7 linked regions of the Callithrix jacchus genome follow. The protein of the gene in region 7 interacts with the protein of the main gene of each other region in a pairwise test. Links are inferred from orthologs where the notes say so. Each region holds a gene or a part of one and is shown on either strand. Other genes may lie near its edges.

The links.
Region 1: the proteins of PRKAB2 (region 7) and melanoma-associated antigen D1 interact in binary tests that used the Homo sapiens proteins (3 or more experiments, as listed by UniProt). The link is inferred for Callithrix jacchus from reciprocal best matches to the Homo sapiens genes PRKAB2 and MAGED1.
Region 2: the proteins of PRKAB2 (region 7) and PIAS2 interact in binary tests that used the Homo sapiens proteins (3 or more experiments, as listed by UniProt). The link is inferred for Callithrix jacchus from reciprocal best matches to the Homo sapiens genes PRKAB2 and PIAS2.
Region 3: the proteins of PRKAB2 (region 7) and UBXN11 interact in binary tests that used the Homo sapiens proteins (3 or more experiments, as listed by UniProt). The link is inferred for Callithrix jacchus from reciprocal best matches to the Homo sapiens genes PRKAB2 and UBXN11.
Region 4: the proteins of PRKAB2 (region 7) and CDX4 interact in binary tests that used the Homo sapiens proteins (3 or more experiments, as listed by UniProt). The link is inferred for Callithrix jacchus from reciprocal best matches to the Homo sapiens genes PRKAB2 and CDX4.
Region 5: the proteins of PRKAB2 (region 7) and PYGM interact in binary tests that used the Homo sapiens proteins (3 or more experiments, as listed by UniProt). The link is inferred for Callithrix jacchus from reciprocal best matches to the Homo sapiens genes PRKAB2 and PYGM.
Region 6: the proteins of PRKAB2 (region 7) and DAO interact in binary tests that used the Homo sapiens proteins (3 or more experiments, as listed by UniProt). The link is inferred for Callithrix jacchus from reciprocal best matches to the Homo sapiens genes PRKAB2 and DAO.

What each region holds. Positions count from the first base shown.
Region 1 is NC_133524.1:52,170,999-52,174,498, forward strand, and holds part of melanoma-associated antigen D1, read left to right. Parts: intron 1-312; 5' UTR 313-348; coding exon 349-393; intron 394-1,092; coding exon 1,093-1,800; intron 1,801-2,447; coding exon 2,448-3,116; intron 3,117-3,245; coding exon 3,246-3,309; intron 3,310-3,500. UniProt on the Homo sapiens protein: Involved in the apoptotic response after nerve growth factor (NGF) binding in neuronal cells. Inhibits cell cycle progression, and facilitates NGFR-mediated apoptosis. May act as a regulator of the function of DLX family members.
Region 2 is NC_133514.1:90,007,396-90,011,604, forward strand, and holds the start of PIAS2 (E3 SUMO-protein ligase PIAS2), read right to left. Parts: upstream 2,801-4,209; 5' UTR 2,632-2,800; coding exon 2,608-2,631; intron 2,369-2,607; exon of another isoform or gene 2,165-2,368; intron 1-2,164. UniProt on the Homo sapiens protein: Functions as an E3-type small ubiquitin-like modifier (SUMO) ligase, stabilizing the interaction between UBE2I and the substrate, and as a SUMO-tethering factor.
Region 3 is NC_133508.1:62,948,664-62,952,633, forward strand, and holds the start of UBXN11 (UBX domain-containing protein 11), read right to left. Parts: upstream 2,801-3,970; 5' UTR 2,769-2,800; coding exon 2,695-2,768; exon of another isoform or gene 2,355-2,694; intron 1-2,354. UniProt on the Homo sapiens protein: May be involved in the reorganization of actin cytoskeleton mediated by RND1, RND2 and RND3. Promotes RHOA activation mediated by GNA12 and GNA13.
Region 4 is NC_133524.1:70,844,604-70,848,894, reverse strand, and holds the start of CDX4 (homeobox protein CDX-4), read right to left. Parts: upstream 2,801-4,291; 5' UTR 2,605-2,800; coding exon 2,103-2,604; intron 1-2,102.
Region 5 is NC_133511.1:121,823,622-121,827,121, forward strand, and holds part of PYGM (glycogen phosphorylase, muscle form), read right to left. Parts: intron 2,552-3,500; coding exon 2,440-2,551; intron 2,353-2,439; coding exon 2,270-2,352; intron 1,795-2,269; coding exon 1,651-1,794; intron 1,307-1,650; coding exon 1,214-1,306; intron 988-1,213; coding exon 841-987; intron 646-840; coding exon 482-645; intron 130-481; coding exon 15-129; intron 1-14. UniProt on the Homo sapiens protein: Allosteric enzyme that catalyzes the rate-limiting step in glycogen catabolism, the phosphorolytic cleavage of glycogen to produce glucose-1-phosphate, and plays a central role in maintaining cellular and organismal glucose homeostasis.
Region 6 is NC_133510.1:111,779,859-111,783,358, reverse strand, and holds part of DAO (D-amino-acid oxidase), read right to left. Parts: intron 3,262-3,500; coding exon 3,111-3,261; intron 1,628-3,110; coding exon 1,551-1,627; intron 606-1,550; coding exon 540-605; intron 1-539. UniProt on the Homo sapiens protein: Catalyzes the oxidative deamination of D-amino acids with broad substrate specificity. Required to catabolize D-amino acids synthesized endogenously, of gastrointestinal bacterial origin or obtained from the diet, and to use these as nutrients.
Region 7 is NC_133519.1:7,286,801-7,290,300, forward strand, and holds part of PRKAB2 (5'-AMP-activated protein kinase subunit beta-2), read right to left. Parts: intron 1,912-3,500; coding exon 1,745-1,911; intron 941-1,744; coding exon 847-940; intron 616-846; coding exon 495-615; intron 1-494. UniProt on the Homo sapiens protein: Non-catalytic subunit of AMP-activated protein kinase (AMPK), an energy sensor protein kinase that plays a key role in regulating cellular energy metabolism.

The sequences.
Region 1 (3,500 bases), on a different chromosome or scaffold from region 7:
GTACTGTTAGATCATTCCTCCGGACTCAAAACCTCCATGCAACTTCCCATATGCGAATCCCAATCCAACCGCCCCCCTCCCCCGAATTCAAAACTCATCTGCTTCCCGAACCCGGATTTGAAGCTTTGCCCTGTCATTAGCTTCTCGGGGTTTAAAACCTCCATCTGGACGCCCATTCACTTTTCCCGCTCCGGTCCATACCTCCTCACATTCACCTTATCCGCCCGCACAATCAGACCACAGTCACCCCCCTCCCAATTAGGTCCTTCGTATTTGCCCTCTGTAGTGTAACGCCCTGCCCCTCTCCCACAGCCCCCAGGCTCCGCTCTTGCCAGAGGGACAGGAGCCATGGCTCAGAAAATGGACTGTGGTGCGGGCCTCCTCGGCTTCCAGGTGAGATCTCCGCTCCCCACCCCACCATTTCCCCAGCCGACAGTCACCCCTCCCCGCGGGCCTCTTTGGTCTCGCAAACGCCGGGATCTGGTTTGGCCCTCTTTAGTGACTAGACTCCGTGGTCTTTTCGAATTCCCATCGTTTATCGAAGGGGGGAGGGGCGTCTCTTTTCAGCCATCAGTCCCTGCTCAGAGAGAGGGGAGACCCTGTTAGTAGTTAGGGCAGTCTGCCCAGAGAATGCGGGGTGGGTAAGGAACCATTTTTTTTCCACAGTCCTGACGCTTGTTGAGCAGTCTGTCACCCCCTCCCCCTAGCCTCCTGCCTCCACCCTCCCTCCCTCTGCATTCCCCACTCTGTGCGACCCCCCTTATTCTCAACCCCGCGATCCGCCTCCCCTCCTGAGCTGCTACTGCACGCCTCTTTACAGCGTCCCCTGCTCCCATTCGTGCCCACTCTCCGCACACAGCCCCACCCCTCATTTTTCCCCTACTCTACTTCACCCCTGCCACACGTTTTGCACCTGCCCCGCCCCCCTTAGCCCCTCGCGGTCCCCCTAGATCTCTGCCTCAACCCTCCTGTTTTTGTACCCACCGACCGCCTGCAGCTCCCCTGCTGCGCTGCCAGCCGGCCTCCCTATTCCCACCCCACCTCCTGCATCAGAGGCCCAGAGGTTTAATTTCTTCCCCCCTGTGTTTGCAGGCTGAGGCCTCCGTAGAAGACAGCGCCTTGCTTATGCAGACCTTGATGGAGGCCATCCAGATCTCAGAGGCTCCACCTACTAACCAGGCCACCACAGCTGCTAGTCCCCAGAGTTCACAGCCCCCAACTGCCAATGAGATGGCTGACATTCAGGTTTCAGCAGCCGCAGCTAGGCCTAAGTCAGCCTTTAACGTCCAGAATGCCACCACAAAAGGCCCAAATGGTGTCTATGATTTCTCTCAGGCTCATAATGCTAAGGAGGTGCCCAACACGCAGCCCAAGGCAGCCTTTAAGTCCCAAAATGCCACCCCAAAGGGCCCAAATGCTGCCTATGATTTTTCCCAGGCAGCAGCCACTGGTGAGTTAGCTGCTAACAAGTCTGAGATGGCTTTTAAGGCCCAGAATGCCACTACTAAAGTGGGCCCAACTGCCACCTACAATTTCTCTCAGTCTCTCAATGCCAATAACATGGCCAACAACAGGCCTAAGACCCCCTTCAAGGCTTGGAATGATACCACTAAGGCCCCAACAGCTGATACCCAGACCCAGAATGTAAATCAGGCCAAAATGGCCACTTCCCACGCTGACATAGAGACCGATCCAGTTATCTCTGAACCTGACGGTGCGACTGCACAGACATCAGCAGATGGTTCCCAGGCTCAGAATCTGGAATCCCGGACAATAATTCGGGGCAAGAGGACCCGCAAGGTGAGATCCCTGCTAGCTTCAATTTGCTTTGGGGTTCTCTCCTTTCTTCTCTGAGGGTATTCATTTGTCCTGAACAAAACAATGTATGTAACTGTATTCAGCTAGGCTGTAGGGCATTTGAAGAGAATGTTTATTCCTGTCCTACAGGTGTTCACAAACTGATCAGAGATAATATATGGACACAAATAATATATACAACTTGTATGTAATTCAGTTTACATTTTGTTAGTATCCACCATGTGTTAAGCCTTGAGCTAAGCACATTCCCACAGGTTGTCTCATTAAATCTTAAAGGCACCTCCTACCAGCTCGGGATCATAGTCCCAATTTTACAGAGAAGGAAACTTAAGTGCCAAGAGGTGAAGTGACTTGAGTGATTTGTTCAGGGTGGTACAGGCAGAGCCAGTGGTGGACATAGGAAGAGGAGAAGCCTCAGGCCCCATCTTTGGGTTGCTCCTGGCCTGGTTCAGAGATGAAACTCCTGCCTGGAAGACAGTGAAAGACAAGCCCAGGACTCAGGGTGACCAATGGCTAGTGGGTCAGGCTGTCACTACAGGTGAGGGTTTAGAGGGCTTTCCTGGAATAGATAAGGTGAGGACAGAGAACCTACTGGTGATTCTGAACTTTTCTTCTCTCTGATGGTGCAGATTAATAACTTGAATGTTGAAGAGAACGGCAGTGGGGATCAGAGGTGGGCTCCACTGGCTGCAGGGACCTGGAGGTCTGCACCAGTTCCAGTGACTACTCAGAACCCACCTGGCGCACCCCCCAATGTGCTCTGGCAGACCCCATTGGCTTGGCAGAACCCCTCAGGCTGGCAAAACCAGACAGCCAGACAGACCCCACCAGCACGTCAGAGCCCCCCAGCTAGGCAGACCCCACCAGCCTGGCAGAACCCAGTTGCTTGGCAGAACCCAGTCATCTGGCCAAACCCAGTAATCTGGCAGAACCCGGTGATCTGGCCAAACCCCATTGTCTGGCCCGGCCCTGTTGTCTGGCCGAATCCACTGGCCTGGCAGAATCCACCTGGATGGCAGACCCCACCTGGTTGGCAGACCCCACCGGGCTGGCAGGGCCCTCCAGACTGGCAAGGTCCTCCTGACTGGCCGCTACCACCTGACTGGCCACTGCCACCTGATTGGCCACTTCCCACTGACTGGCCGCTACCACCTGACTGGATCCCTGCTGACTGGCCAATTCCACCTGACTGGCAGAACCTGCGCCCCTCACCTAACCTGCGCCCTTCCCCCAACTCGCGTGCCTCACAGAACCTGGGTGCTGCACAACCCCGAGATGTGGCCCTTCTTCAAGAAAGAGTAAGAGCTGTAACTCTCCAGTCACTTCTCCCCTCTCTTGCTCTTTTCTTTGTCATCCTCTCATCTATAATTCAACGAGTTTTTTTGTAAGGACCTTATAAGTTTAATGATTTCCTTTTTCCCTCCCAGGCAAATAAGTTGGTCAAGTACTTGATGCTTAAGGACTACACAAAGGTGCCCATCAAGCGCTCGGGTAGGCATCCAGTGTCCCCTCCCTGAGCTCTGCCCTTCCTTTCACCCCATGCTCTACGGGCATTCTTAGGCTTGTATGACCGTTCCCTTTCTATCCCCTCCTTTCCGTGGTTGGTTCTTTCCACCCTTGAGGACCTTGGCTGTGCTACCCCCAGCAGGGTTGGCAAAGGGACTGCTGCTCTGTGCCCGCCA
Region 2 (4,209 bases), on a different chromosome or scaffold from region 7:
AAAGGCACAAGGGTCACCAAACCACACTGAGGATGACCTTTCACAAAATTCCCTACCTTCAGTCTAGATGCAGCACTAGCCAGGATGTGAACTGCTCTGGTTATACTTGTCCAAAATAACTGGCCCTGAAGCATTATGGAAATTCTCCCTGTGGCATATCAGCAGCCAAATATGTGGCATCCAGATCGGCTGACCATTTCCTCTACTGCCAAGAAGTTAGCCAACAAACTAATGCCCATAATTTTTCCTGGTCCTATAATTTACCTAACATTTTGAGAATCCAAGATGATTTCTTCCCCTTTTCTTTCTTTCTAATCAGTTTTTTAGTCTGTTTTTCTTCCTCTATTATAATGTCACACAGGAGATGATCAGTTAATTCAGGATCAATCGCAGGATGATGGCTAGGAGTTCCACCTAGACCCCAAGGTACCAGAACAAAGCAGTGTAGCCTGGGCTTTGAAAAGCAAAGACTCTAATGCTACATGTCTAAGATTAAAAATCTCAGCTTTTCAAGTCTCAAGCTGTGTAATTTAGGTCAGGTTAGCCTCTCCGTGCTTCAATTTCTTCAAAAAATTGTGAGAATTAAATAAGTATAGAAAAAAAGGCTTAGACCAGAACCAGGCATGGAATAACCACTATGAAAATGGGTATATACCATCATCATCATTACCGTTTGTTCATCAAGTGTAGGGTAACATGGATCTGCACAGAGCAGTTAAGTAGAAAAGTGGATAATGCTTACTACTTGTGCCCAGCCTGTACCCTTCTCTCCTCTAAAAATTCTCCCCAGTTAGTCTTTGTTGGGCACTTCATATGAATTGTGGGGGAGGGGTCATCTTCTAACAAATGCAAAAAGTAAAGACAGCTAGCTGATTTACAGGAAGAGATGTTGAAGCTGATCCACAAAACAAAACAGAGAGAGGGGAAGGCAGAAAGAATGAGAAAAAGAGCTTCTTTGGTTTCTACCACTTGCCAGTTGCACTCCAACCTGAGCACTGACTGCTTTTTCTGCTGTAACAGCGAGTAAATTCTCCGCTTTACATTAAGCTTTGATCAACAACATTCCCAAGAGTCTAATATAAATCCTGGAAAGTTTTCATTAAAAAAAAAAAAAAAAAAACACCTTAGAAAACTTGTATGCATCTGTTACTACACAAAAATTAAAACTAGATTGCAGGTAAAAATAAATATAACTTCAGAATTCATCCTCTCAACCCATCCTAAATCTAGCGCAGGAATTTACAAAGGTGAAGCTTAGGCCTCCTGGTTTCAAAAGCTCCACAGGTGTTAAAAGCTCTACAGCTGGGGCTCTGAGCCACTGAAACCCTTACACTTACCAAGTATGAACACCCTTCACCTACGACCATGGTTCTCTGCATAAACTAGTATATGTCTTTACCGGGAACTAAATAATTATTTTTGAAACAGCAGGAGGGAATAAGGCAAGCACTCTGCAAACTCTAACAATCTCCGTTAAGAGCAGAACATACGTTCTTTTGCTCGTCTACCAAGCAGGTAACTTCAATATCCTTCCCCCATCCCGTCCTTCAAGGAAAACAATAATAAACATACAAACTGAACCTTTTATCGGATTCCTCCTCCTTATTTAAGACACTCTAACACCATAAGTGTTACACAAACGGATGGCAGTAAATTTAATTTCAAGTTCACACTCGTCTCTACCTTAAAATGCCTTTTTTAAAAAATCACGGTTTCCGTCCGTAAACATCTCATTGATGTCGCCAGTAATTCAGTGATACATACAAAATAAACCCGGCTCGTTCGTCACACTTAGTTTTTAGTCAAAGACTTTGAAGGTTATGAGTCTGGGGATAAAAAAGTCTCTTCTGTTCTACCCCCTATTCCAAACCTCTACTATACAAAGGTATCAACAATAAAGTTATGATCTTGTTTCAAGGCTACTAAGAAAAAAAAATTTTTTTCCTCAAGAGTAAAAGGGGTGCACAAACCTCACAACATGGACTTTACAGATTTCTTACTAAAGCACTAAAAAATATCGAGGTTTAAGGCCGATAATAGAAGGCAGGATTCTCTCGAAGCTGTTAGGAGGCATGGGTGGGAGGAAGGGGCCTTTTCTCGTGACAGACCTGACTAAACGTAGCATCAGCCACAAGAGGAGGAGAGATTCCTAAAGCAACTTCACCTTTCAGAAAACAGTCCTTCACCAAGTGAGTAGCGTGCAGACTTGTGAATCGCCACAGACACGTACACCCCAGCGAAGGTGGGAGATCAAACGCTGCTTTCCACCTCGGCCCTCACCGCGAACAGGGATGTCGGGACCCCACGTGCCCCTCCCGGAGGGCGCCCCGGCCCCCAGCGCCAGGTGTGCGGACCGCCGGCAGCACTCAGGGGCCGGCTCGCAGCGGCCCAGGCCCGCCGCCCCCGCGCCGCCCGCGCGCCCTCAGCCGGCCCGCTCCCCTCCCCCGCGCGCTAGGAGCCCGTTCGTCAGCGGGCCGGGACTCCGGGCTCCGCTAACCGGCCCCTGAGGCAGGAGCAGGCGGCGGCCGGCGACTTGGCGGCTTCCCCACCTCCCCTCCCATCCCCTCCCCCGCGGCCTCCGCTCTCCACTCCCGCGCCCCCGCTTACCCTCAACTCTTCGAAATCCGCCATTTTATACCACCCGCGGGCGCCGCCGCCGCTGCCGCCGCACCCACTCCCACTGCCGCCAACGACGCCGCCGCCACCACGGCCGACTCAGCCTCCAGCACCATCCTGCACTGGGCGCCGCTTAAGACGCCGCGGCCGCCGCCGCTACAGCCGGGGCCGTCACGTGACCGGCACGGGGGCCCCGCCCCCGACGCGCCGAAGCCCCGCCCCAGCGGTGCCCCCCTGCCTACTAGTGCGACCGCCTTCCGCCCGCGCCTTCCGTCCGCTCGGCGACGGCGCCCAACGGCGCCCCCCCCCACCCCCCGGCCTGCAGCCCCGCGGCCTGGCCCCGCTCAGCTCCGCGTCTAGCCTTCCCTCCCCGGCTAGGTCCCTGCCGACTGGCTAGAGCTCGCTCGCGACTAAGGGGTTATCCGCGGGCCTGGCCTGGGGAAGTGGCGGCGAGGAAGAAGAGGCGGCCGGGACGCGTGACTGGAGCATTCGGGAAGATTCTTACGCTGCCCTTCACTCGGTGGCTGTGGATGGAGAAAACCGCCGCAAATAAAACCGTTCCCCAGAGTTGTTGTGGCGGAACAATCTAAATATGGGTGTTAAGTAAGCTATTGTTCCCATCTAATGGTGAGGTTGTTTGACACCTCTTTGAATTACTAATGCCCTACAAGTACCCACCTTGCCGAGTTTTTCCTGACTTTGAAGGGCACCTGAAGGTCACGGACTGCAGAATTGGGAGAGTTGGGGGGCGGGGGAGGGGGGAAAAGTGAAATAACAGCGCTCAGAGGGCCATGCTAAAAAGTCAGGGAAATCTGATCTCTAGGAAGAAGTGAAACGCCAAGGCAGAGCAAGTAGACAGAAGGAAGCTTGATGGCCCCCCTAACGTGCTGATAAACAATGAGGGAAGATGCTGAGTCAAGATGGTCAGAAAAATCGCCGGACAGAGTCCAGGGTTCAATTTCCTTGAAGAATTGGGTAGAACTCACCCACAAAAAGACTTTAAAACACTTAATGTAACTTTTAAGACTGTTTAATCAGCTTCCTACCTACTGCCTCTTCCCACGAGCCCTCGTTTCATCCGTACTGCACTTCAGATCTTCCATAAGTCCTTCCCTCCATTCCCCTGCCCCCGCACCCCGCAAGTTTTTTGATTTTGTTTTTTGAGAGAGAGCTTCTTTTTGTTTTTTACAACGGAAAGAATTCTGAAATAGGGTGCTACTTTGTCTCACCAGATCAGATTATTAATTTGGCGTCTTTTCTATGCTATATACTCCCTAATAATCATTCAATGTCTGTTCAAAGGAATGGCTGAGTGTTAAAGGGTAGAAAGGGCATGTCTCTCTTCACTATTGTGATCATTTTGTTCTGGTCTAGATTTATATATCCTCATCAAGAAGAAGTCCCTGCACTTACTTGAATCCAACTTCTTTATAATGTGGTAATGTGATATACCCTTAGAGGGGAGTGGGGAAGAAGGGAGGTGCAGTCATCTTACCACCCACAAAAGGCCACATATCAAAGTACGCTTCCAGCCACATGCTGAACTCTTCTACCAGAGAATTCTATTAAATATATCTTTTCTCCTTATTACAT
Region 3 (3,970 bases), on a different chromosome or scaffold from region 7:
CAGGGAGTAGCCTGAAGTTGCCTCTTCCCTGGCTCTTCTTCCTAATGGGAAGCACTGTGTAGGCAAAAGTACCCTTTGCCTCTTCCACTGCCCCGACAGAGGTTTCCGGAAGTTTCTGTTATCTGACTGCTCTTCTGGGAATACGGCTCTCCACTCTGACCTGAGAGACCTTTGGTCTGATGGTGCTTGGGAAAGGGCAGTGAGGATGGGATGGGATGGGATGGGATGGGATGCAGAAATGAGTCAGAAGCCTGGGACTTCCTCAAACTTACAGCCTGGGAACACTACTACCCAGGAGGCTGTCCATCCATCTGTGAGCTGGGTGGCACAAAGCCCAAGTGTCTCCTTCCTTCCCACCAGAAACCATGTGCCACTCCCAACATCTCAGAGCCAGAGAGGGCAACCCACAGGCAGGATTCACACCAAGATTAGGACACCAAGTTCTGCCACTCACTGGAGCAATCCATCTTCAGTTTCTTTTAGTGTAAAATAGTGTAGTAATAGTACAGACGCAGGCAGGGTTCTGAGCAGATTCAGAGAGAACAGAGAACGTCCAGCCCAGCACCAAGCTCAAAGAAAGCACTGAAAAATGTGAGCTGGGGCTGCTCTGAGTTTTTGCCATTGCTGGCACATAAAAGGCACTCATAAATGTTAAGTTTCCTTTCCTTCCCTCTTCCTTCTGGAAAGAGTGCACTTGAGGGACATCACTGAAGGCTACTACTCTATTCAGTAAATGAAGCAGATTAAGTCACTAATATCTAGAACTAAAGGACCTCTACTAGGGAGGTTTTGGAAACGAGTCTCACTGTGCTGCCCAGGCTCATCTCCCATCTTGCCACCTCCCACACTTGAGCCACCTGAACTGCTGGCAATGCCTCAAATGCACATGTGTCCCCACTGCCTCAACTCCCCACTCCTACCTGCACCCTTCCCTTGGCCAGCTAACTCTTTTTTTCCCCCCTTCAGTTTGTTTTTCACTTATATTTTAGCTTTTTATTTGAAAATTATTATAGATTCACAGGAAATTAGGAAAGATCTTTGTATTCTTCACCCAGCTCTCCTCAGTAGTTACATTTTATAACTACAGTGCAATATCAAAATCAGGAACTGACATTTTTTAGACAAGATCAAGTGCGTTCAGGGTGGTATGGCCGTAGACACTGACATTTTTTATACAGTTTGTATGTACAGGTCTATGCTGTTTGATCGCATGGGCAGATTAAATCACATAGGTCAAGTCACATGGGTAACTACCACTGCAATCAAGATACAGAACTATTCTAGACCCACCAAGATCTCCCTTGTGGCCCTCTTTACAGTCACACCCATCCTGCACCCCTCCCCCAGCCCTAACCACTGGCAACCAGAATGCTATTTTCCATCTCCATAATTTTCTTACTTGAAAAAAGTTATATAAAAGGAATTATACAGTATACAAACTTTTTCATTTGAGATATAATTCACATATTTCACCCTCTTATGGTGTAAATTTAAGTTTTTAGTATATTCACAGAGCTGTACTACTATCACCAGAATTTGAGAACATTTTCATCAGTCTTAAAGACCCTGTATCCTTTAGCAGTCACCTCCCACTTACCCTCTAGCCCTCACCCTCTTTCCCAGCCATCCTTAGGCAACCACAAATCTACTTTCTGTTCTATAGACTTGCCCATTCTGCACATTTCATATAAACGGAATATATACTGCAATATACCAAAAACGATTGAAATTTACATTGTAAAGGAGTGAAGTATATAGTAGGTGAATTATATCTCAATAAAGCTGCCATAGGGGAAAAAAATTCCTAAACCAAACCCAACATCTTTCCTCAAACTCACTTTCTCCCACTTCTCCCTTCTTGATGGTACCCCGTCACCCAACCAGAACATTTTTCTCTCCTTCCTTCCCTCTTACACCACACCCTGCAGGTTAAACTCTCTCACACACAGCTGCCCCTTTCCATGCCCACTGTCGGCCATCCTAGTAGGACTCTCACTGCCCATTCTAGGGGCTGTCACATGGCCCTCAACTGACTTTCCTACTTCCAGTGTCACTCCAGTCCAATCAGACACTGCCTCCAGGTTAATCTTCTCCCTGATTACGGGGGACACTGCGGGCAAAGGCTGCATTTCCCCACCCGTTTGGGGGGACTCCTGAGGGCAGGGCTGTGTCTCTTTCTCCTTCAGAATGGGGAGCCCTGAGGACATGTCTACCTCTTTCACTTTGGGGCTTCCAAGGGCAGGACTATGGCTTCCTCTCAGGCCGAAAGCTCCTTAAGGTAGGTTTGTCACCCACTTCAGATCCGGCTCTAAGAGCAAAGCTGTGTACCATGCCTCCACATCTTTGGGACCGACCTCAGTGCTGTGCTTGACTTACAACATCCTTCTTCACACCTCCTCGGCCTGTCCGTCACCCCCAGGGCCCAGCGCTGTGGCGGGGACACAGTTCGACCTGCTGCCAGCAGTCACTCCCTAATGCCCCCAAGGACGCGCCCAGGGAGCGACGTCTATCACAACCTAACCCAGCCCTGGCAGCCGTGTCGCCTACTCCCGCCTCCAAGCGTAGTCTTGGTAAGCAGGGTCTCGAATCTCTCCTGTGGGAGCCGCGGAGCTCGCGGGCCCTCGGGGCTCTCGGGGATTGGGCTCCAGCCTGCGTGGAGACTCCAGGAGCAGAAAGGTCTTGGGCCAGACTCACCACGCAGGACCGCTAGCCGTCCAGCGGTGCCGCCATCTTGTTGTCACGCGGTTTCCTAGGCGACCAGGACCCATGCACTTCTCATTGGCTAGTTTGAGGGAGGCCTGAGCAACCAGCAGACCTCAGAGGTGGATACAGTCGTCTATACTCGGATTCTATTGGCCCACAGAGTCGGCATTCTTCGTGGGATACCACGAATCCCAGAATGCACCGCTCTGAGCGTGCTCCAAGTCCAGGGAAATGGCGGGGGGGGAGGGGTTGTTGGTTCAGACCCACAGGTGCGGGAGGAAGGAACCTGGGATTAGGTTAATGAAACTGCTGGAAGCCTCTGGACCTGAATGTGTGAGCCCGGCAGTGCAGCTATTTTGCTAAATTGATCTTGGGGGGAATTATCCCTCTTAGCCTGTTTCCCCATGTTCAGTATTACAGTACTTCGCTTTCAGGATGGATTGCAGTGATGCAAGTACTTAATAACTGTTTTTTGTTATTGTTGTTGCTTTTTTTTTTGAAGGAAGGAAGGATCTAATAAATGTTTCTTAAATCTGAGTTTCTGTGATAATTCCTTGACCAGATTTGCGCCCGGATTTGCACAAATTCTAGTCTTTTTTTTTTTTTTTTTTAAGAATTGGGTAAGACAATTTCCCCTCCCTGAGCCTCACCTGTAAAATTGTACTGGATTAGACTCAGTCACCACAGCAGCTAAAGGCAGTTAAGAGCACGAACTTTGGAACTGGGAGTCCTGGCTCCTGACTATGTGTTCTTGGACACTTTATACACCTTAGTTTTTATATCTGTAAAATAGTGCTAATACCCACCCCCACTGGATTGCTATAAGGATTAAATAAGAGAATGCAAAGTACATGATTTTAAAGGGGAAAGCCGAAACAAACAAAAACACTTGTACACAGCACTTTCTCAAAAACGTTTCCTGCTGTTCATCATCATCATCATCATCATCTCTCCTCCCTTTCAGCTGTGATGGTCTGGGAGTTGATGATTCCTGATCTCAGGCACTCACTTCCTTGTGCCCATATTCAAAAGCCCCTTTCTCTGCACAACACAGAGTGCCTTTTTTTTTTTTTCTTAAGTAATTTATTTTCCATTTGACTTTCTAACCTACCACACATTCAGGGAAGGGCAGGCTCTGCTCACTGCAACCTCTGCCTCTCTGGCTCAAGCCATCCTCCCACCGCAGCCGCCAGTGTAGCTGGGACTACAAGCTCGAGCAACCACGCCCAGCTAGTTTTTGTGTGCTTTTTGGTAGAGATGGGGTTTC
Region 4 (4,291 bases), on a different chromosome or scaffold from region 7:
ATTCAGCCCCTATGCTTGAGAGACGCCTGCCTAGATAGTTATGAGGGCTTTAGCCTTTTATTAGTGCTGGAACTGACTCGTTTGCGTGCCCGGTGGGTGTGAGGGTTAGGTATCCTATTATGTGCCAGGTCGGTGCATTTTTCTAGGGAGATAACCAAAGTTTTTCATTATATTCTTAATTTGTTGCTAAATATGCACCTTAGACTATAAGAATAGAGCAAAAGGGCTAATTTACACTTATAAGACATTAAAAGTAAACAAAGTTTTAATTTAATGAAGCCTTATTTACAGAATAGACTGCCAAGAATCGAAAAGGTTCCAATATCAGTCCATTTTAAACTTCTCATAGAAATTGGAGAGAAAATCTTGTGAAGGGGCATTGTAAAGTCAGGTTTGAGGGTTTAACTAACGATGAAGATGCAAGAGACTAAGGAGCTTCTTTCAAAACATTTTCTGGCATTAGGATTACCCAAGAGAGAGACTCAGGCTAATAAAAGCAAATGTAAATGGAAGATCTTTAAGCAGATAAAACTGTTATATTTTCCCACATAAACAGAAAATTCAAGAGGTAATCTCTTTTATCTCATCCATTTACTCTCTTGTTCTCTCTTGCAAACTCCATGCCAGTAACTTTCCTCTTGATGTGTTTCAAAACATAATCCTAGACTGCCAGAAACTACTTTTCTAGCTTTTATGTCTTTTGATGATTGTTAGGGTTTAGTGAGTGGATGTTAATTACAACCCCGAGATGAGATGCAATAAAAACTCTGGGAGTGCCCCACCCTAACATCTTTTTCTATCCTACTTAGTCACAGACTCACTCATAGTTTTTAAAAAACGCGGATTTACTCTTGCAAATGCTTTAAAGCCAAGTATTTGAACTCTGCTTTTACCTTGGGATTGCTACTCTAGTGATGTTCTAATACACAGAACTTCCTTTTCCTTGCTAAAAGTTCTCCTAATGGTAAAAATTGGTAACTTCCCACCCTCCTGCTTTTGCTTTTTGGAGGAAACAAAAAGTGCAGAACCGAGAACAGAAGCATAATCATTGTGGACAAATGCTATTGAAATGCCATTTCCTCCCCAGAGGGATGAAAGTACTAGAGTCGAATTTTACTAATTTTCTCTAAACACAGAGAGCGAGGATTGGAATAATAGGAATGTGATAAAAGAACGACAGCTGAAAACAAACATTCCTCCCTCCGCCCGGGTCTAAGATAAAAGCAAAGGACCACTTCCCCCGCCCTGGCTCCCGGCTCCCAGCAGTCTGGTTTATTGGTTAGGCTGCGATCACGATAGTTGTGCCTTCCCGCGCGCTGCCGCAGACTTGCATTCAGCCCCTACGCCTAAAAGACGCCCGCCTGGATAGTTATGAGGGCTTTAGCCTTTCATTAGTGCTAGAGCTGATTCGTTTGCGTGTCCGGCGGGTGTGAGGGTTAGGTACCGTATTATGTGCCAGGTCAGTGTTGTAGCCTTCTCACCTGCCTCAACACTTGGGTTAGAAGAAAGGACGTTGTAAGCTGGCAATGGATTTGAGGCCAATTTGCCTCTGCCAATTTGTAGGAAAGAAGCTGGAACTTCCCTGAGAGACCAGGGTGACGAGGCTGCTTTGCCATCGGGGACTTCGTGGCTAAACTGGAGGGTCTGTTGCCAGCCAAGCACTGTGAACCTATATTGAGCATCACCAGCTTTAAGGGAGGGGAGGGGGAAGACAGCCCGCCCAGATAGGTAAGGGTTTGGAAGTGGAACCATCAAGCTGTCCTCTGGCTTCATTCACCTGTTGAGCTTTCCCATGCATCTGTTTTCCCATGTGGGCAACTACAGGGTTGGATCCCGATCCTTGTGGCCCAACATACCCATTGTCCACTCACTCGCTTTCTTCATGGAGCAGCGAAAGGCGAAAAGCACTCGCTGCACTCCATAAGTGAGTTTTGAGCCCAGGCGAACACACGAGCGATACCTAATAGGCCAGCCAGCCACATAGGGTTCTCTTCAGCTAAGCTCTCTTAGGAGAGGCCTGAGAAGCAGGATGGCAGGCCGAGCAAGCAAAATAGCGAAGGGAAGGAAGGAAAAGTGTATGGGCATTGCAATTGATTACTCACCCGTCACCTGCACTGTCTTGCGCATCCATGCATAGGGGCTGTGGTGGCTCCTGCTGGGGGAACTGGCGTTGGTGGCGCCTGCGTCTGTGGGTGCAAGTGACCCGCCAGCCGAGCCTGGTAGACTGCTGCAGCTAGTTCCCCCGCCCGAAGGGGCCAAATTGCTGTAGTCGGGAGAGCAGAAAGCGGTTGGGCTCGAGGTCAGGTCGTTCACCGGCACTGTTCCCATTGTACTAGACGGCCCAGGATACACGCTCCAGTCTTCTCGCGGGGTACTGTAGGGTGAGCCCCAGGCTCCCAGAGTTGACCCATGAGGATCTATGCTGGACATATGAGGATACCCCATGTAGTGTGAGAAAGCCGATGCCGCAGGGAAATTGGAGGCTGGCATTAGACTCCCACCGTCCCCCATGCCGCCTGCCTCAGCTGTGCCGCTGCCCCCAGGGCTCCTGAGAGTACCCGGGTACATGCCTGCTTCTTTCTCCAAAGGGCAGCTTCCATACATCGTGGCTTGCGTAGAAGGCGCTCCCTAAACCATCCTGAGGTCCCTGTAAGGCCTCAACTCGATTTTGAGATAATAAAGAAGAAGCAGATAATAAATTTATCAATATGTAGTCGTGCCGCAAGCTCCTCTGACCTCTCAGACTACTCCATCCTACGTTTCCAGGTGACTGGTAGCCCTGTATAGATAGGCCACCAATAGCTGGGCTGACGTCAAGGGGCTTCAGGCTTTTACATAGCATTTGCATTCAAATGAAGGGCCATTTCGAACTTTCACAGCAACTTGTTCACCCTCTCCCCAAGCTCCCAGGCCTTTCTGTCTCATCTTTCTTGATTCTGTCCATCTTGTTCCCATAGCATCAATATTATGCTTTTGGGGACAGGAACACTCCTCCAGCGGTTTCTGATCAGCTCCCCTCAAAGTCAGATAGAGACCTGAAGAAGCCGGGCAAAGTTCCGCTCTCTGGAATTCAGTCCTTACACTGCGGCCTCCTCCCTTTCACCGATCTTCCTGCTTCCAACATGCATCTGCAGCCTCCTTCTGCCCAAATTCCCTCGCAGAGGTTTACCACATGGCACAGGCCCAGGATGCCAATGAGAAGGACTTTCCTTTACTCTCCTTACTCCCTCCATCAAGAGGAGGCCTTTGTTTCCGAGGGCAAAGATTAATTTCACAAATATCTGTTAAGTGTCTACTGTGTGCCTGGTACTGTGTAGGCACAGGGATACAGCAGTGAATAAAAGACAAAAATTCTTACTCAGCCTTCCTAAGATTGCACTGTAGTGGATGGCAGGCTGAGTTAATAGAATGTTTTACAAATATGCACGAATTAAAGAAAGATGAAGGTAGGTTATGAAAAATGGTAGGGGAGAGAGAGAGAAGAACCATGTAGATAATAAACTCCTATTTTCATGTCAATCCACTACTCTCAGATGTCTCTTTCTGCTAGATATGGCTTCTGTCTGAAATCCGGTGCCTCAAGGGGCCAGAACTCTTGCAGTCTCAAATCCATGGCAGCTGCAGCAGACTTAAAATGTTTTCTTTGTAAAACTCCAAATATTTATGCCAATGAAATCAGTATCTCGCCCCAAGAAACCAGGTCACCCGTTGTGTTCCTCCTCTCCACCCAGTGCCCCCAATACCTACCACAGCCTTTACTCCAGGCTGCTCCTTATTCAGGAAATGTGCTCCTACACAAAATCCAACATAACCTGGCACTCCCAACCCCATTTAGCTAATCCTTCTATAGCTTTGGGAAAGTCACTTAACCTCTCTGAGTTTCACAGTTTTATCCTTTTAAAAATAGAGAACCTACCTATTTTTAAAAGGAAAATGGTATCTACCTTACAAGCAGGATTTCCTCAGATAATGCAAGCAAATTGCTTAACTTAGTGCTTGGCACACAGTATGGGACCACTGTATTCACTCAACAAATATTTGTTTAGTACTAGGTGCTGTTCTATGTTTGGAGACATCAGTGGTGAACAGATAAAACCTCTGGCTTTATTAAGCATATGTAATAGTGGGGAGAAACACTGATAAGTAATTAAATTTTATGGTATATCAGACAATAATTAACTCTACGGAGAAAAAGGCAGGGAAGGAATATACAGAATGCTGGGAGATGGATGTTGCAGTTTTAAATGTGATAGTCTAGGAGAACTTCACAGAGAATTGACATTTAAGTAAA
Region 5 (3,500 bases), on a different chromosome or scaffold from region 7:
CAATGCCCTCTCACCTCAGCAATGACCTCTGCCAGCCCAGGGTTACACAGAACCAGCCAGCGCCGAGGGGTGATGCCATTGGTCTTATTCTGGAACTTATGAGGCTCCAACTCATAGAAGTCTTTGAAGCTGCAGGATGAGGTTGGACAAGGGTCGCTACTCACCCCTGTAGGATGAAAGCCTCTGCCCTGGGGCCCCTACCCTGTCTTGCTGAAAGGGGCCTGGGGTGGGGAATGTGGACCTGGGGAAGGTGGGGGATGCTGTGTGTAAGAGGGGGCATCCCAGGACAGGGCGGCACTGGTAGGGGCTGCCGTGCTTGTAAGAATGACGCCACCTGTGAATGCCGCCCGGGGCCAGAGACCATGAAGGGCTAGAGACCATGAGTGGTCAGGCAGGGCAGTGAGGGGCGGGGTCTCTGTTAGACAGAGGCGTGGATTAGGTGGGGCTTAGAGACGGGCGGGGTCTGGAGAGCAGGGCTCACATGGTCTTCTTGAGGATCTCCGAGTGGATGCGCGCCACGCCATTGACAGCATGTGAACCCGCGATGCACAGGTGTGCCATGTTGATGCGCTTCACCGCGCCCTCCTCCACCAGCGACATGCGCCGCAGCCGGTCTATGTCCCCTGGAAATGTGGCCGCCACCCGCTGTGCCCAGAGAGCCCAGAGCTAGGACCAGATCCAGGAACCCCAGTCCCCAGTCCCCAGCCCCACACCCCCAGAGCTCTGCCCAGAGCCCTCACTGCCCCATAGTCTCAGGGCCCTGGCTGGGCACCCCTACTCCCAGGCCCAGACTGGGTGTCCCCCCTCGTCCCCGCATCGTCCCCAAGCCTCCCAACTTACGTTGAGGAAGCGCTGGTTGATCTCGTAGATGATCTGGAGGTGCCGTGGTAGCAGCGTCTCCAAGAGGTGCACCGGCCAGCGCTCCAGGGCCTCGGGCAGCACCGTATGGTTGGTGTAGGCACACGTCCTCACTGTCACATCCCACGCCTGGCACACGGGGTGGGCAGTCAGGACACCGACCTCAGCCTAGTGGCTCTCCCCACACCCTATGCAGCCCAGCAGGCCCCCCCACCACAGTGCCAGGTTTAGGACCGTCCCTCTGGCCTCAAGCTCCAGTCTGTTCACTCCACTCATATCCTCCCATGTCCCCAAACTGGGAAGGGAACGCTGAAGTGGAGAGTGTCAAATGAGGCAGAGGGGTCCTGAAGCCCACCTTGTCCCAATCCAGCCGCTCCAGGTCCACCAGGATCCTCATCAGTTCGGGGATGGCCAGGGAGGGGTGGGTGTCATTGAGCTGAATGGCCACCTGGGATAGGCAGAGAAGTCAGTCTGAGCTCCAAACCACATACCATGCTATGGTCACTGTCCTTTGCCACTTCGGAGCCCCCCAGAGAGCCCAGCACGGTTCTGTGACTGGGCTGAGGGCAGAGCAAGCAGGTGCTCATGGGGGTGGGAGGAATGGGGTAGGGGGAGCCGGGCAGGAGGAGGGAAGCCGAGGTTATGAGCCTGTGGATTGACCTGAGCAAATGACCCTCCCACCCTCCCAGCCTCCAATCCTTTATCTATTACATGGGGCAGTCCGACTGAGGCTGGAGGGAGAGGCCCGGCACACACTGTCCGGCACAGAGGCGCCCTCTACGCGCATAGTACCTTGTCCGGAAAGGCATCAAAGTTCGTGCGCACGGGATCGCGGCAGCCGAACTTGGAGGACTTGAAGCGACGGATGATGTCCTGGAGGGTGGCGGCTACCACGAAATACTCCTGCTTCAGCCGCAGCTCCTTCCCCTCAAAGAACTGGGAACAGCGCGAGGCAGCGTGAGTCAAGGTGGCAGGGGCGTGGCCTAAAGCTGCGGTGGGTGTGGCCAGAGGGGACTCCCACCCATACCAGGACCCCTGAGCCCTGAGCCCTGAGCCCTGAGCCCTGAGCCCTGAGCCCTGAGCCAAGACCCCTTTCTGGGTCCCAGGGAATTTTCCTCTACCAAGAAGTAGTGGCAAGAGACAGTGTCAGGAAGAGGGCACAAGAACCGAGAGTATCGTGGGTGTCGCCTTGGGACAGCTCCTCCAAAGTGCCCTTGGCTAACCCACTTCCCTCAGGACTCAGGTGTCCTTGTGCTCAAAAGGCTTAAGATGGGGGCACAGGATGCACAAGGCCAGCAGTATGCCCTGGGTGTGAGTAGGGCACCAGCAAGTGTCTCTCCCCAGTTCTTCCTAACCCCTGCTCCCAGGACTCAGGCTTTCAGCACCCCACACCACCCAGAGACTGACGCACATTATCGTTGGGGTATAGGACACGAGAGATGTTCTCCGCCAGGTTCCGGTCCAGCACAGCCTGGATGTAGCCACCGACGTTGACTGAGAGACGAGAGTGGGGAGAGGGTAAGGCCTGGGCAGGGCAGGGCTGGTGGGCAGGCTGGGGCTGCTACCAGCGGATGAACTCACAGTCCTTGAGGTTGAAGTCATTGGGAGCCTTGGCAGACCAGAGGCGCATGGTGTTGACGACATTGTTGCGATAGCCAGGCACCGGTGTATCATAGGGCATGGCCAGTACCACCTGCGGGGGGCAATCCTGTCAGGAGCTGCCTGGCCCTGGCATCTGCCTCCCTCCCCTCAGGGCTGGCACTCAAGGCTTTGTCCCTGCACTCTGCAGACCCCGGCTCTTGTCCCAATGCTAGCATCGACTAGTTGCGTAACCATGAGCAAACCCCATAGCCTCTCTGGACCTCATCTACAGGGAAAACACCCTCAGCACTTCCCCAACACCAGTAAGCCCTGCTTGGCAGACGGCGGCGAGGAGAATGGAAGGAGGCGGATGACAAGCCCGGAGCCCAGGAGGGGCTCTGTTGGTGACCACTCTGCAGCAATGGGGGCCGGGCTGGCCAGCCTGGCCTGAGCAAAAACTAGAGGACACTGGACTCAGGAGAGGACTGGGGAACCCAGGGCCAGGCTGAAGGGGTCACAGAGGTCAAGTCCATCCAAAGACCTGAGGCCTGGTTGACCACATGGCTAATTCCCAGTGCCTAATGCTGACCCGCCTTCCATAACTAGCAAACATCAGTAACTGCTATCACGGTGCCAGGGTTCTGTCCACTCCTCCAAGGGAGCCCTCTTAAGGGGCATCGCCTTCCCTCCCCACACTCAGTCACCTTGATTGGAGCAGAGTGGGAGCTGACACACAGAGAGGGAAGGGGCTGGTCCCTGAGCACACAGCAGGCTGGCAGCACCAGAGGGAGCCAGGTCTCCTGCCTTCCAGCCACAGCCACTTGTGCCAGCTGCAACATGCACCTGGCATGGACTGCCAACAGCCCCTACTGGGCCTTAGCCTGGCTAACAGCAAATGCTCAGTTCTGAAAGCCTACTGGTTTATCTGCAGCCCCTCTGGGGGCTGATGACCCGAAGCTTCAGCAGGAAGATTGCCTGAACTGGGATTTGGTGTGTGTTTGTTTGTTTTTGAGATGGAGCCTCACTCTGTTGCCCAGGCTGGAGTAGAGTGAGGTGATCTC
Region 6 (3,500 bases), on a different chromosome or scaffold from region 7:
AATCTCCCTTAATATGACTGTATATGACTGTAAATACCAATGTATCTCTCAAGTGAGTGTTCACTAATTTAGAACAGGACAAGATTCCTATTAACATTAGAAACAAGGCGAGGACATCCGCTATCATCTGTATGAGTAACATTGTTGTAGAGGTATTGGCCAAAGCAGTTAGAAAAGAAAAAAAAAGAGAGGAGATAAAAATAAAAGGCAGCTTATATTTTGCAGATGATGTAAACATATCTGGAAATCTTAAAAGAATACATTTAAAACCATTACACAAACATTAGGGATCTGAAAGAGGTTGTTAATAGACATCATGTGTGAACAGCTGCCCAGGTGGTTCTGATGCCCAGCTAGGCTCAGGAACCACTTTCTCTGTACCCAGTGGTGACCAGGACCAAGGACAGCTCCCACACCAGGCCTAAGGGTTTTCTTCAAACCTTGGGATTGGTCCACGCAGGGGGATTCCCATGAACCATCTTCTACTACAGCTTGGTCTCTGAGAGGTGCCTCCCTCAAAGTGAAGCTTAAAATCTCACCTTTCATTCAGCCACTGTAGATAGTTCTTTCCCTCCAGAATTAGGCTTGTGTGGAACCAGCCATAGCTAGAGTCACAGCAGGCAAAAGGTGGAAATAAAGGTAAAAATCAGAGCTCTATTTGAAGGCTGTGAAATGGAGGTGGGAGCAGTGTTGTTCTGTGGGCCCAAAGGGTAATGCCAGGACCACAAGCTGAAGTTCAAGGGGGGAAGTGATTTTGAGCTCAATGCAAGGACAATTTTTCTATCAGACAAGGCCACCCCTGGCATTGGAGAATGCAAAGGGAGATTGGATGTGCATTTTAGAGGGGATTCAGGCATGGTGAGGAGAAGACCAGAGAGGCATCAGGCTGTAAAGAAAAGAAAGGAGGGATGTGGGGTCATACAGACTGGGTTGGAATCCCAGTTTGGCCACTTGGCTGTTTGATCTTAGCAAGTCACTTAGCCTCTTTTTTTTTTTTTTTTTTTTTTTGAGATAGTCTCACTCTGTCACCAGGCTGGAGTGCAGTGGCACCATCTCTGACTCCCTGATTCAAGTGATCCTCCTGACTCAGCCTCCTGAGTAGCTGGGATTATAGGCACGCACAACCACACCCAGCTAATTTTTGTATTTTTGTAGACATGGGGTTTCACCATGTTGGCCAGGATGGTCTAGATCTCCTGATCTCATGAGCCATCTGCCTTGGCCTCCCAAAGTGCTGGGATTACAGGTGTGAGCCACCGCACCTGGCCATCACTTAGCCTCTTTAAACTCAGTATCTTCATCTACAAAACAAGATGGTGATATGGAGCTTCTGGGCTTGAGATCTGTGATTTCATACCCTCTATTCTCCCAGCCCAAAGACCAATTTGAGTGGATAGCCTCTCTGAAGGAGCTGGACCAAGGACCAGGAGACCAAGGTACCAGGGCCTGGGTGGGACAGGAAATCTGGTGCCTCTATCCTCTGCTGCCTCTGGACAGGTCTGTCTAAATTGTGGGGCTCCAGCCCCCTTTGCCTGTGACAATAAACTCACCTGTAATCTGGAAATATATCCAGCTCTCTGGGGGTCAGCTTCCGAAATCCTAGAATTGTATCCTTCCAGGAAGGATCCTAAGAGGAAAGAGAACGGGGTGCCAGGAGGGATGGAAGTCAATAATAATGATAACGGGCCAGATGCAGTGGCTCACACCTGTTAATCCCAGCACTCTGGGAACCTGAAACAGGTGGATCACCTGAGGTCAGGAGCTCCAGTCCAGCCTGGCCAACACGGTGAAACACCATCTCTAGTTAAAAAAAAAAAAAAAAATTAGCAAGACGGGTGGTGCATACCTGTAATCCCAGATACTCAGGAGGCTGAGGTAGACTCAGTTTTCTTGCCTGTATCATGATTATTATCACTCTTGGCCAGGCACAGTGGCTTGCACCTATAATCCCAGCACTTTGGGAGGCCAAGGCAGGCAGATCATTTGAAGTTAGGAGTTTAACACGAGCCTGGCCCCTCTCTATTAAAAATACAAAAATTAGGCAGGCACAGTGGTGCACACTTGTAATCCCAGCACTTTGGGAGGCTGAGGGAGGTGGATAACGAGGTCAAGGGATCAAGACCATTCTGGCCAACATGGTGAAACCCGGTATCTACTAAAAATACAAAAAATTAGCTGGGCATGGTGGTGCATGCCTGTAATCCCAGCTACTTGGGAGGCTGAGGCAGGAGAATCACTTGAACCTGGGAGGCGGAAGTTGCAGTGAGCCGAGATTGCACCATTACACTCCAGCCTGGGCAGCACAGTGAGACCTTGTCTCAAAAAAAAAAAATCTCTTGGTCCTCTGAAAGTTAAAGAAGATAATATGGATAAAGCCCTTAGTGCAGTGCTAAAGGTTGAATGAACCTTGAGAGCTGGCACGGGGCTCTGGGCACAGAGCCAGACTACCCTCTCTCCAAGCAGCCTGAGCAAAGCCTCCCAGGGCTGTGATGTTCCTGTTAGCACATTGGGCACCATGTGGTCACAGATCGCCTGGGTTCAAATCCCAGCTCTGCCACTGGCAAACTCTGTGGCCTTGGGCAAGTTATGCCATTTCTTGGAGCCTCTGTTTTCTCATCTATTAAGTGAGGCTAAGGACAGGACTTATCTCCCTGTTATTGAGAGAATTAAATGAGTCGCTAGCTGTCAATTAGTTAGGATTGGGCCTGGCACATAATAAATGCTTTGGCAGTTTTTGCTATGATGAGTATTTTATTACATCTTGATAAAAAGTCCTGGGACCTTCAGGGGCACATGAAAGCTTTTGGCTTCAGCAGCCAGTGCCCGCGCTGCAGAACATGTGTGCATTTCAACCATGCTAATCACAGGCTGCTTTCCACGGACACCAGAAGATTCTTTGTCCTCTGCCAATTTAACAGCAAAATTTGAAACAAAGACAATTTGTCAAAGTAAAAATAGAATTTAAATCAAACCTGTTTTGAACCCAGGAGTCTGTTGCCTACAAGACCCAAAGCACCCCGCCCTCATCTGTGATTAAGGCTGCGCTGCACCCACCCTCGCCATCCCAGCCCTGTGTGCTCATCCTGCGTGGTCCGGAACTGCTCACCCACCGGGATGGCTTTATGGAAGAGGTTGTAGCCCGAGATTAGGAACAGGCCCATTTTTTCAGCGTTGGGAGAATGGACGTGGCGCAGGAGATAGTCAAAGGTCTGTTGGTTCCAGTCTCTGGAAGGGTCACAGAGAGTTCGGTCACCCAATGCCCTGAGATGGGCAAAAAACCTTAAGTCAGCTGGCATGGGGCTGTGGCATGATCAGGAGCTTGGGGTGTATCCAAAACCTGGAAATCCACCGTGTTCACTCTTACAGCTCCCCAAATGCCTTGGGTCTTCTCCCTCCCAATTTTTCTAATATTTCTCCATTAATAGGATAAAGAAGAGAGGGAATGAAGGCTGCCCCATCATAACCATTTGGACTACACCTCCAGCATGGGATTACCTGAC
Region 7 (3,500 bases):
GTCACCATGGTGAAACCCCATTTCTATTAAAAATACAAAAAGTTAGCTGGGCATGGTGGTGCGTGCCTGTAATCCCAGCTACTCAGGAGGCTGAGGCAGGAGAACTGGCTGAACCCAGGAGGCGGAGGTTGCGGTGAGCCGAGATCGCACCATTGCATTCCATCCTGGGTAACAAGAGCGAAACTCCGTCTCAAAAAAAAAAAAGATAATGTAGCAAATGGAGTGTATCACATGTGATACGGTAAACATTACACCATGAGACTTTTGTTAGCATGTGCGTGTGTGTGGGTGTCTGCAGCAAAGAAGAGACCTAAGCTTACAAGAGAAATCTCAATGTCTCTTTCCCCCTCTCCCCTTCACCCCCCGCCCCACCCTGGCTCACTCTCTTCTTCTTTCTCTGTCTCTCTCTTTCTATATATATATACATACAGAAACAACTTTTGGGAAGGTGCAAGAAAGACACAGCAAAAAAAGAGTAAATACTACAAAATTACCTCTACAAGATGCCTCAGAACTTTCCATAGAGTCTAGCTTTAAAGCATCGAACACCTCAAAATCCGATTTCTTGACATGGATCAAATTGTTAATTGTGCCGAGCTGACTGGTAACCACAGGCTGAAACAGGGAAAAGAAAAAAATACTGAATCTCTCTTTCAAATCCATCTTTTCCATCCAACCTTCCTCTTTTATCCTAAAATTTACATGTGATTAGACTCAGCACCTCCATATTTTATCAAGAGAGAAATCCTCCAGTGTAGGGGAGCAGCTGCCCATCAGTCTTGACAGAAGTGACAGCTAAAATGGGGCTGCTAAGTCAGTGGTTACCCTTGGAGATCAAGGCCTTACCTCTGATGGATCATGAACCCACTGTCCATCCACAAAGAACTTGTATTGGTGTTCTCCCTCAGGGAGGTCCAGGATGGCAACAAAGTCATTATGGCTATGAAGAAAAAGAAAAGCAAACAGGCCGAGTTCCTTTCAGAAGACCAAATATAAAAAACAAGTGGCAATCACAGTATCACATGAAGGATCTCCCAGATTCCTAAGCCACTGTATCCCCTGGTGTGAAAAACAATGTATAAACCCATTCTCCTCTTTTGTATCATCTTGGACGTGTATTTACCAGCTCCTCCCAACAACGTTAGTTCTTAACCAGTATCTGGAAAAGAATAATAAAAGCATGAATCCTCTGGAATGGTGCACCCTAGCATAACTACGTTGCTTCAGCAGAACAAGCTCCTAGCCAGTGCAAAGAAGATAGGTAGGTTCAGGACACAGTGCCTCAAGGTATCCTTTCTCTATTTCCGTGAACCTTTTCTGGAAAATGACCTACCATACAATGGGCCATTCTGACAACCAGTTAGACCATTCATTATTGCTGTGGGAGCAACAAATAACATGACTAGCTAGAACTTCAAAATGTGTTTTGCTTTAGTGCAGAAGTCAGGGCAACAAGCCTCAGCCAGTTACAGAAGACTTCCCACAAGCACAGCCCTAATGAATGGAGCCACAAAGCTATTATGAATCCCTCTGAGGCAATCATATTCGAAGGGGTAAAACATCTCTGACTCACTATGAAGTTTAAAAAAATCCCACAGATATACTAAGTGGCCACAGAAAGGGCATGTTCTAGAGAGAGTCCTTAGCAGTGGGGAAAAGTAGTCCAGTGGCGTTTCTCTTCTGAGAAAAGAAATTAGGTCACTATTCCTGGACCCTTAGATTCAACCAAGACACTTGTCTTCACCTCTTAATCAGTGGAATCTTGGTGCTCCAATTGTTGAAGGACCCAGAGATGAAGACCTCCTTGCCTCCTTCAGACCAGCGGATAACAGTGGGCCGGGCCTGCTGTGTGGGCTTTACGGAGTCCTCCAAATCCTGCTGCCAGGATACAAACTCTTTGTCCCCAGGGAGCTGTAAGAAGGAGTAGGTCATCCCTAGAATAAACTGTGACCCAAGAATTCTAAAAGGTCACTCTCCTCCCTAGGGTAGAGAAGGATGCTAGGCTTTAGCTAAGGATATAAACCCCACAATCAGCAACTAAATCTGAGTTTGAACAAATTATAGAAAAAAAAAACTCATTTAGGACCAAAAATGGTCAAATGGCCTATGCTTAAGTACCTCCTAAATCATAGCCTGACTTTTGAGTCTACCTGCATCATCCACCCTTTCCGCGCCTTAGACTCTCCTTCAAAAAAAAGCAAGAAAAAACTATTCCCTACCACTAGTTTAACTCATAAGCAGGCAATTATTATACACTTCTGAGTCTTTAAGAGAAAAAAACATATAAAAACAAAGTATGGTTCTATTAAAAAATAATATATATTTTTATAGGCAAATATGAATAGCTCTCAATTACCAGCTGTAATGGAAGTTAGAGACATCAAAATTCATAATTCATAAACGCTATTTCTGCTAATAAGTTACAAAAAGAAGAAACAGTAAAAACTCAAAAACCGGATCACTGATTTCTTAAAACTTGAGAAGTAGCTATGAAATCTTACTTGCTCCCCTGTGCTAGGTTTATACTAATTATTTCAGGAGTAGGAACAAAAATTCTAGAACCTCAAGGAGCAAGAGATCGAAAATACAGTTTCCTTTATCAAGAGTAGTAATCTTACCAAATGAGGTATGTGGGATTGCAAAAAAAAACATCTCCTGTTTCTTTTCATTATCATCCTTTGGACCAAGAGTTGGCAGACAGCCAGTGAGCCAGATGCTTTTATCAAGTTTTATTTGAAAACAGCTCCACTTATTTGTCTACCTATTATTTATTTATTGAGAAACGGCCTTGCTCTGTCACCCAGGCTAGAATGCAGTGAGTGGTGTGATCATAGCTCACTGCAGCCTTGAACTCCTGGGCTCAAGCCATGTTCCCAAGAAACTGAGACCAGAGGTGCGAGCCACCATCCCTGCCTTGTTTACCTGTATTACTTATAGCTACTTACAAGCTACAGTGGCAGAATTGCACAGCTGTAACAGAGACTGCATGGTCTACAATGTCTAAAATAGTTACTACCTGGCCCTTCACAGAAAGTTTGCTGACCCCTGTTTCAGATTGGTTTAAGTGACTCTGGTAAATGAGACTGTAGATTATTAAGCCTAAATATTACCAAATAGAATAATGTGGGCTTCCCCCCCCCCCAAAAAGGACTGGCTTATTCATTTGGGCCTTCTTTTCAAAATGGTTGACATAGTTTCCCCTCCATACATTCTCGTGATATTCCCCAAAACTACAGTACGAGACATCAGTAGCAGGATAATCCAAAGTAAACAGAGAAAGAGAATTGAAAGGACTTTCACATTATATAAGGAACTGACTTAAGAGAAAACTACATATTCTCAGAACAATGTACTCTTGCATGACTGACTGTGTTAGAATTGCAAGAATTTTACATATGCCTAAGAATAACCCTAAGATTCTGATTCAGATATAAGATCTGGGAATCTATTTTTAAAAAGCTTCCTAGATAATACTGTAATTATGTTAAAATAAAGTAAAA